Linked DNA regions of Mus musculus: region 1 is reported to be linked to region 2. Evidence: microRNA targets listed by miRTarBase, many of them from high-throughput screens and not tested one by one. Region 2 holds a microRNA gene; the other region holds the end of a gene's coding sequence.
Evidence for each region. Region 2 holds the annotated microRNA mmu-miR-470-5p (UUCUUGGACUGGCACUGGUGAGU, at 2,258-2,280, shown strand). A microRNA usually pairs through its seed, bases 2 to 8, with sites in the 3' UTR of a target mRNA and lowers its output. Matches are read on the target gene's strand: a 7mer-m8 pairs with bases 2 to 8, a 7mer-A1 pairs with bases 2 to 7 and ends in A, and an 8mer does both.

Region 1 (4,400 bases), not on the chromosome of region 2:
GGTAAATGTAAATGCATGTGTCTTACTCATGGTGAACCAAGGGTTACATACCTTTTGCAGGAAGGAAAGCCCAATAAGGGAAGTTCATTGGCTAAACATTTGGAGCCTATCTAGATAACTGGTCAGCATGGAGGACTCCAGAATTTTATGTTATGTGATGAGTTGTCATGGTCCTCTCAGTGGGGTGTCATGGTTACACATTCCAGAACAGGTAGAGCTTGGCTTGGCAGGAAACTGGTTCCACACCTACCATTTTCAATTCTGAGATTCTCCGGGGTTTTGAACTTACTTCAATCTTACCAGTTTTTCTGTCTGGTGGCACGGTCTGCTTGCTCCACATTGCTTAATCTGGAAAAAACAAAAAACAAAAACAAAAAAAAAACAACTTCCCAACATTTTTCTTTCAATAATGCCATTTGTGCTCTTTCCTAAAGATTCCTCCTGTTTTAAGTTGTTAATAATTTTATTATTCAAACAAAACTAATGCCCATCCTTTTTTTTCTGTTTCAGTACCATCATCCATATTATAACAGCATGATATAATAGCAGAAACATATTTTCTGATGCCTCTGAAAGCCGAAGAATGCTCGTTTTTGATTCCATCACTTCTCACCAGATTGAATGGAAAAAGCTCTGAAAAGTAGTTATTCAAAATAAATGGACACCTACTGCACAATAACCCAAGGACTAGGGGGCTAAAATGCTCCCCCAAGTTGATATATTGATTTCCAGTGTACAAATGGACTGAATCGCATAGATTTTCTCAGCCATTAACCATAGAATTTATGCAAAGTATATCTTTCCAAATATGGAATGCTCCAATCAGAAAAAGACTATCATTGGTTGTTGAGTTACTGACTGTCTTAGTCAGGGTTTCTATTCCTGCACAAACATCATGACCAAGAAGGAAGTTGGGGAGGAAAGGGTTTATTCGGCTTACACTTCCATACTGCTGTTCATCACCAAAGGAAGTCAGGACTGGAACTCAAGCAGATCAGGAAGCAGAAGCTGATGCAGAGGCCATGGAGGGATGTTCTTTACTGGCTTGCTTCCCCTGGCTTGCTCAGCCTGCTCTCTTACAGAACCAAGACTACCAGCCCAGGGATGGTCCCACCCACAAGGGACCTTTCCCCCTTGATCACTAATTGAGAAAATGCCTTACAGTTAGATCTCATGGAGGCATTTCCTCAACTGAAGCTCCTTTCTCTGTGATAACTCCAGCTGTGTCAAGTTGACACAAAACTAGCCAGTACACTGGCTCTGTGTAAACAGTGTGTTTCTAAAATCCCAAATGTAGGAAAAATATGCAGATGCACACATATAGGCCACATTTTAGTAATAATATGAAATATACTTAAAGAGCTTTTAAACTTCGTATTTTTATACAAAATATTTGCCTTTTACAATCATTTTCCTTTTTTTAATGTACCTATATGATACATAAAGCCAAAGATAATAATAGCGGTACTAATAAAATTTCATGGAGTTTCTCTTCAGATTTAATCTGTCCAGCTGAAGAAAATTTTTGTTGTATGTGTCTATGTCTGTGTGATTTCTTCAGAACCGTGAATCACATGAAGCATCTGGAAATGCCCTTGTACATTTTGGTGATGGCGGAGCTCAAGCCTGAGAACATCATGACAGCTCATTCAAGTAGGCTGTGCCACTAGCCCAGCACTGGCCACTTCCAGTAAGAGGAAGTGTTAAGCTGGGAAGTGGTGGTGTACGCCTTTAATCCCAGCACTTGGGAGGCAGAGGCAGGCGGATTTCTGAGTTCGAGACCAGCCTGGTCTACAGAGTGAGTTCCAGGACAGCCAGGGCTACACAGAGAAACCCTGTCTTGAAAAACCAAAAAAGAAAAAAAAAAGAAAGAAAGAAAGAGAGAGAGAGAGAGAAAGGAAGAAAGAAAGAAAGAAAGAAAGAAAGAAAGAAAGAAAGAAAGAAAGAAAGAAAGAAAGAAAGAAAGAAAGAAAGAAAGAGGGAAAGGAAGTGTTGACTTGGGATGTGCTTTTGTTCTACTTTGTGGATCTGGAATGATGGAGAAGCATCTGTGGGGACGGACAGAGCACCTGAATCTGGGTGTCTCCAAGGCCCTGGTTTAAGGCTGATTTATAAACAGGCTTAGTGTCAGACTCATATCAGAGCAGGCAAGAGATTATAATGTCACATCAGACAAAGGCAGCCAAGTGATGCTTGCAAGACAGAAACCAGCTACATGCCATTTGGAAAGTAGAATTCTCAAAGCATAACTCCAAGACATGGGCTAAATGAAATGCAAAAGTAAACTTTTGGTTATTTGTTGAACCCTGAAAAGAATCTTCCCTTGTGATTCTAAGACTTGTGTGTACTCCTGTCTTTGCATCTGTTTCATAGCTCAGGCAGAGGGTGAAGGTTGTCCAAGCCCCTGTCCCATGTCACCTATTGTTGGGGCCGGCCTGTGGCTCTCATGTCTGGGTTTGAGCCTGGGATGCATCTTGGAACTGAAAGAAAAGAGGGAATCTAGGCAGGTTGAGAGAGAAATGGAACCAAGACAATATTCTGATCAAGGTTCAACTTTAATGTCAGAGAACACGCTTTATAAAGAAGAGGGGAGGCCCATTCCCAGCTAAGTTTCTTGTGAAGTTGTCAGATCAGTCTTTTAGCAGGAACTCTCGAAAATCACAGTTCAATGTTAACTCTGGAAGATCTTGGGAAACCAGTTCTGCCTCAGGCAGGTAGCAGGTAATGGCACATCAAAGGAGAGGGATGAGAAGCAGCACAGCAGGTGGCTCTGCCTCAGTGGCAGATGGTCTGAGCCAGCCTGACTAGGCTGGAAGGAGGTTACAACCTATATTCTTTCTTCCCTTATAAAGTGTAAGCTTCCAGAGAAGTGATCACATATAAACATTTCAGGTAAGCTTGGAACCCTAGGATGTAATATTTAGCCAAAAGAAAAGGAAATTAAAATTTTAAGACCTGCCTAACCTCTTCAGTTATTAATTTCTATACTAGACAAGGTACATATGTCATGGGAAATCAAAGGTGTCCTTAACGACAACAGCAAATCATAATGGATAAATTGAGCATGTGAACCACCTCAACAAAGAGAGACTTTTAAGCCTTTCCACATGACACATGAAAGTGAACTGTTTTATTCATATTTAATTCTTCTTTAATCTGATCTGTAACCAAACCTCAGTTACTGCTCTTACAGAGGATCTGAGTTCAGTTTTCAGCACCCAAGTTGGAGAACTTTCAACTTTCTACAACTCCAGATCCAGGGAACTAAAAGCCTCCATGACACAGCTGTCATACACCCACACAGATACACACAGACACCTAAGTAAAAAAATTTAAAAATCTTTTTAAAGGGTTTGTTCCTAGACTTATCTTGTTATGCCATATTCAGTGGATATTCCTGGGAGGACTGCTCTTTTCTAAAGAGAAACAGGAAGAGTGGATCTGGGGGAGTGAGAAGAATGGGGGGAGTGGGAAGTTCAGTCAGGATTAATTTTTTTTAAATGAACAAACTTTTTTAAAAAACAGAAAAAAAAGCAAGTATATTAACTGTGATATTTGAATTTGCCAAATGTACACTGGATATACTTATACCTGTCTCACAGAGTCATTGCAAATTTTAATGAGGTGATATGCAGAAATCACCTACTACAGTGTCTGGCTCCAAAGATACATGTCATGCTCTTAGTTCCTTTCTCTGTTTAGAAATCTTTCAAGTACCTGGTTCAGCTAAGGAAATAACAAGTTTTAAGTCATTGCAGACACCTAATAACTTGACCCAGGTAAGTGAGGGAACAGTTCTTTATAGAGTAGTAGCTCCCATTAAAGCAGGCTTGGTTCCATGCCAGGAAAAAATGGAACCTTGGGTAGAAAGCAAGGAAGTAATTTTTCTTTGTCAGAGACAGGCTGACAAGCATGTCTTGAATCCCACTAGGGACATTCCACACACGGGAGGTTGTAAGGGAAAGATTGTAGTAAGTTCTTTATATGGTACATGCTCACACTAGACTAGGAATCAGCAAATATGGCCGATAGTCTGTTTTTATAAACAAACTTGTTAAAACACAGGTTCATTGGTTTATTTACTTTCTGTCACACACAAATGTTTGATCCCCAGCCTATGGCATCACTGGGAGATGAGGTCTTGTGAGAGGGAACTGTGTCACTGGGAAAATGTCTTTCTATCTCTTTACTTCATGGCCACAATAAGGTAGATGGGCCTTTGCTACCACATTGTTCCCACTGCCATAAGCCCAAGGCAGTAGGAGCAAGAGACCTCTGAAGCCTCTAAAACTATGAAATGAAAGAAAATCTTTTCCTTCTTCTACCTTGCGTTTGTTGAGTATGTAGTGATGGAAACTAATGCAGTGCCTGAGGTGGTTGCTTCTGAGCTGTAACAGCAA
Region 2 (4,400 bases):
TGGAATCTCAGGGTTGTCTTGATTTGCATTTCCCTGATGATTAAGGATGTTGAACATTTTTTCAGGTGCTTCTCTGCCATTCGGTATTCCTCAGGTGAGAATTCTTTGTTCAGTTCTGAGCCCCATTTTTTAATGGGGTTATTTGATTTTCTGAAGTCCACCTTCTTGAGTTCTTTATATATGTTGGATATTAGTCCCCTATCTGATTTAGGATAGGTAAAGATCCTTTCCCAATCTGTTGGTGGTCTTTTTGTCTTATTGACGGTGTCTTTTGCCTTGCAGAAACTTTGGAGTTTCATTAGGTCCCATTTGTCAATTCTCGATCTTACAGCATAAGCCATTGCTGTTCTGTTCAGGAATTTTTACCCTGTGCCCATATCTTCAAGGCTTTTCCCCACTTTCTCCTCTATAAGTTTCAGTGTCTCTGGTTTTATGTGAAGTTCCTTGATCCACTTAGATTTGACCTTAGTCCAAGGAGATAGGTATGGATCGATTAGCATTCTTCTACATGATAACAACCAGTTGTGCCAGCACCAATTGTTGAAAATGCTGTCTTTCTTCCACTGGATGGTTTTAGCTCCCTTGTCGAAGATCAGGTGACCATAGGTGTGTGGGTTCATTTCTGGGTCTTCAATTCTATTCCATTGGTCTACTGGTCTGTCTCTATACCAGTACCATGCAGTTTTTATCACAATTGCTCTGTAGTAAAACGTTGCTTCCTTATAGACAACTGTAATCACCAATCTATGTGTATAGGAGAATATCATTATGCATCATTTCATTGGCTTTTTTAAAAATTTTGTACCAGGCATGTGCCAGGTATGCCATTTCATGTCTCTGACCTATTCAGCCTCTTATTTCTTGACCTCCACGCAGTGACATGGGTAGGCCTCATCTTGTGGCATGGCTCTCAAGGTCAGTTATCGGTTGTCCATTCTCATTATTTCTGTTCTACTTCTACCGTAGCACACGTTATAAGTACAGCAAATTGTATGTTGCATCTTTTGTGACTGGGTTAATGTCTCAGAGATGGCCAGTTTAGAACAATAGCCCCATTGCTTAGGTCACTGCATAGACTCCTGTGAATACTGTTGGACTAGATTTCTAGTTCATCCCTGAGATACTCCAAAATTCAAGTTTCTCTTCTTGTATTCTTTTCTACCTACCACCAAATCCCTCCTGTTCTCATCGCCATGCCTTCATACAGAGCCCCCCCCCCTTTCACCAATAATGTTTATTCTATTTCTCCTTCATAGTGAATTTCTTATGTCCCTTCTTGAACCCTCCTTTTTACTAATCTTCTCTGGGTCTGTGTTTTGTAGCATGGTTATTCTGTCCTTAATGGCTAATATGTACTCATAAGTAAATACATACTATGTGTGTCCTTTTGGTTCTGGGTTACCTCATTTAGGATGATATTTCTAGTTGCATATGTTTTTCTTCAAAATTCATGATGTCCTTGTTCTTAATGGCTGAGTACCACAGTTTCTTTATATTCTCCAATTGAGGAAAATGTAGATTGTTTCCAGCTTAGGCTTATTATGAATAGAGTGGCTATGAACATAGTTGAGGAAGTATCCTTGTAGTAGGGTAGAACATCTTTTGAGTATATGTCTTAGAGTGATGTAGCTAGGTCTTGAGGTAAATGTATTCCCAATTTTCTTCGAAGCTGTCGCCTTCAAAAGTAGTTGTATAAGTTTTCATCCCACCAGCAATTGAGGAGTGTCCTCCTTTTCTATCTTACATCCTTGACAGAATTAGCTCTCACTTGTGTTACTGATCGTAGCCATTCTGACTTTCTTCCAGGGTGGTGGACCAGAATAATCATTGATTCTTTATTGCAGTTTTTGTTTCTATTTTGTCTGTTTTTTACTGACTGATTCTGTGCTTGGCTTGTTCATGTTGTTTTTCCATAGTACTATGATTAATTATTTATGCATTTGAAATCTGTCTGCTTTGGAGGGAGGTTATTTTGTGTATGTGGATGCTCTGTATCCATATATTTATATTTACCAGTTCAGAAGAGGGAATTACATTTCTGGGAACAGGGGTAATAGGTGGTTATGAACCACAATATGCATTGTACCTTGAATGAAATTTACTGTAAAAAATGTGTTGGTTATCCTAAGGTAATTTTAGAATAAATTATGTCCATAGTTATTTTTCATATTCTATTTGGTCTATGATAAAACCTGAACATCATGATGGAAATGGCTGAAATAATGTCTCTATATTGAAGCTGTGGTGTGCAGTGCTCTTCTTGGACTGGCACTGGTGAGTTAAACTAAATACAACCAGTACCTTTCTGAGAAGAGTAAAGCTCATCACATTCTTTTGATGAGGCTCCTGAATCAAGATAGTGGATTATCCATAAGGACCTTGGAGGACACTTTCTAATGTTAGGTAGATTTGAATATCTTCAAATATAGGTTTCAATATGAATAGTTACGGAAACTAACATATTACGGAACCAGAGCAAAAAGAATATTAAGTTCCTTTCTATAGAAGAAAAATGTAAAACAAAGAAAATTGGTTGTTTTTCATAGAACCAACAGGAAGAAATATAACATAAAGGATATTTCCATGGTATTTTTAAATAAATAAGTTAACATTCAAAAATAAAGCTTTGTTTGAAGAATGATGAAATCAGATGGAGCAGATAAACTATACCAGTTCTCTATTGTATGTGTTGTTTGAAGGTGGTTATATTTGTCTTGATGGTATAAAATACATAAAAGTGGAACCTGTTGAATAGAAGGTGGCTTAGTTACTTTTCTATCGCTGAGACAATGCTCCATGCCAAAGGATCCAACTTAATAAAAAACCAAAACAGAACAGAACAAAGCAAACCAACAAAAAACACATTCTTATGGGTGGTGAAAAGTTTGAAGAGGTGAGCACTCAAGACTGTTATGGCAGGGAACAGGATGGTAAACAAGTGGAATGGCAATAGAGTAGTTGCTGAGCATTTACATCCTGATCTTCAGCCACAGAGCTAATTGAGAATTGCATGGCTTTTATTAAAACCTCAAAGTCCACCCCCAGTGACATAACTTCTCCAATAAGGTCTCGCCTATTTTTTCCCAAATAGTTCTTAGCACTGCTCTCATTGTGTTCCCATAACTTTGGGTCTTTATTTTTTTTCCTTGTCTGAGGAGTCATTTAGTAGGAAGTTGTTCAGTTTTCCTGGGTTTGTATGCTTTTTGTTGTTTCCGTCATTAAAGTCCAGATTTAATCCATGGTGATCTGAAATAATACAGTAATCTCAATTTTGTTGTATCTTTTGAAACTTGGTTTTTGTCTAAGGATATGGCCAATTTTCAAAAGGTTCCATGAGGTGCTGAAAAGACAATATATTCTTTTCATTAGAGTAATTTTTAAAATTAATTTATTTATTATAAATACTGTTTTAATTTAATTTTATCATCAAATAGTTTGCTTTCTCCATTCGTAGTGATTCAAAAATTTTGTTGGGCTGGCATCTGTGGTCTCTTAGAAGCTGTAAGACATCTTCTCAGGCCCTGTGGCTGTTATTGTTTCTGTTGAAAAGGCAGGTATAATATTGATAAATTATTCTTCAGATTATACCTGGCCTTTTTGTGGTTGCAGTTTTTTCTTTATTTTGTACATTTAGTGTATTATCTGTTCTAACCTATTTTGTGGGATGAACCAGAATTCAGGAGCAGTTTTGGCAAGTGGAGTTGGGGAAATCAACTCTAGAGATCATCACTGAGTACAGATCTAATGTATTGTGCATTTGCAAGTGTTTTTATACAGCTTTTGGACCAATGGGGTATTGATACAAGCTCTGGAGTAGCCAACTATCCCACTGTTGGGAGGTGCCAGGCTATTAGCATATGAAGGGACCTCCATAAAAAATGGAAAGTAGCTATGGCCCTGTTCGGCCCATTGTGAGGTTTCCCTACTTTCAGTATCCAAATAAACAAAATCAGAATTAAAAAGGGAGACATTAACAAATAAAATTGAATAAATTCAAAGAATCATTAGCTCTTACTTTAAAAGCCTGTTCTACATAAATTTGGAAAATCTTTAACAGATTGTAAGACATTTTAGAAAGATACCTATTTCCAAAGTTCAATCAAGATCAAGTAAACTATTGAAACATCCCTATAACACTTAAGGAAAGGGAAACAGTTATCAAAAGAAAAAAGCCCAGGTGGTTTTAGTGCAGAATTCTACCAGGCTTTTAAAGAAAGAGCTAATGCCAGTACTGCTCAGACTATTGCACAAAATAGAAGCAGAAGGAATACTGCTAACTAAGAAAAAGAATTTCAGGCCGATTTATCTTGTCATATTAATGCAAATATATTCAATAAAATACTAAAAAAAATGCACCAGAGAACTAGGATAGGGCAGGTTCCTAAGAGTCAGTGGGGGTG

Region 1: miRTarBase lists Colec12 as a target of mmu-miR-470-5p. Seed matches in the 3' UTR shown: 7mer-A1 at 900-906.

What each region holds. Positions count from the first base shown.
Region 1 is chr18:9,876,478-9,880,877 of GRCm38, forward strand. Colec12 (collectin sub-family member 12) reads left to right here. Exons shown (of 10, transcript NM_130449.2): 10 at 511-1,518. The coding sequence ends at 530. Among named protein-coding and RNA genes, the nearest start is that of Thoc1, 80 kb to the right of the region's middle.
Region 2 is chrX:66,811,875-66,816,274 of GRCm38, reverse strand. It overlaps Mir470 (microRNA 470), which reads left to right and starts at 2,250; the gene lies at 2,250-2,324.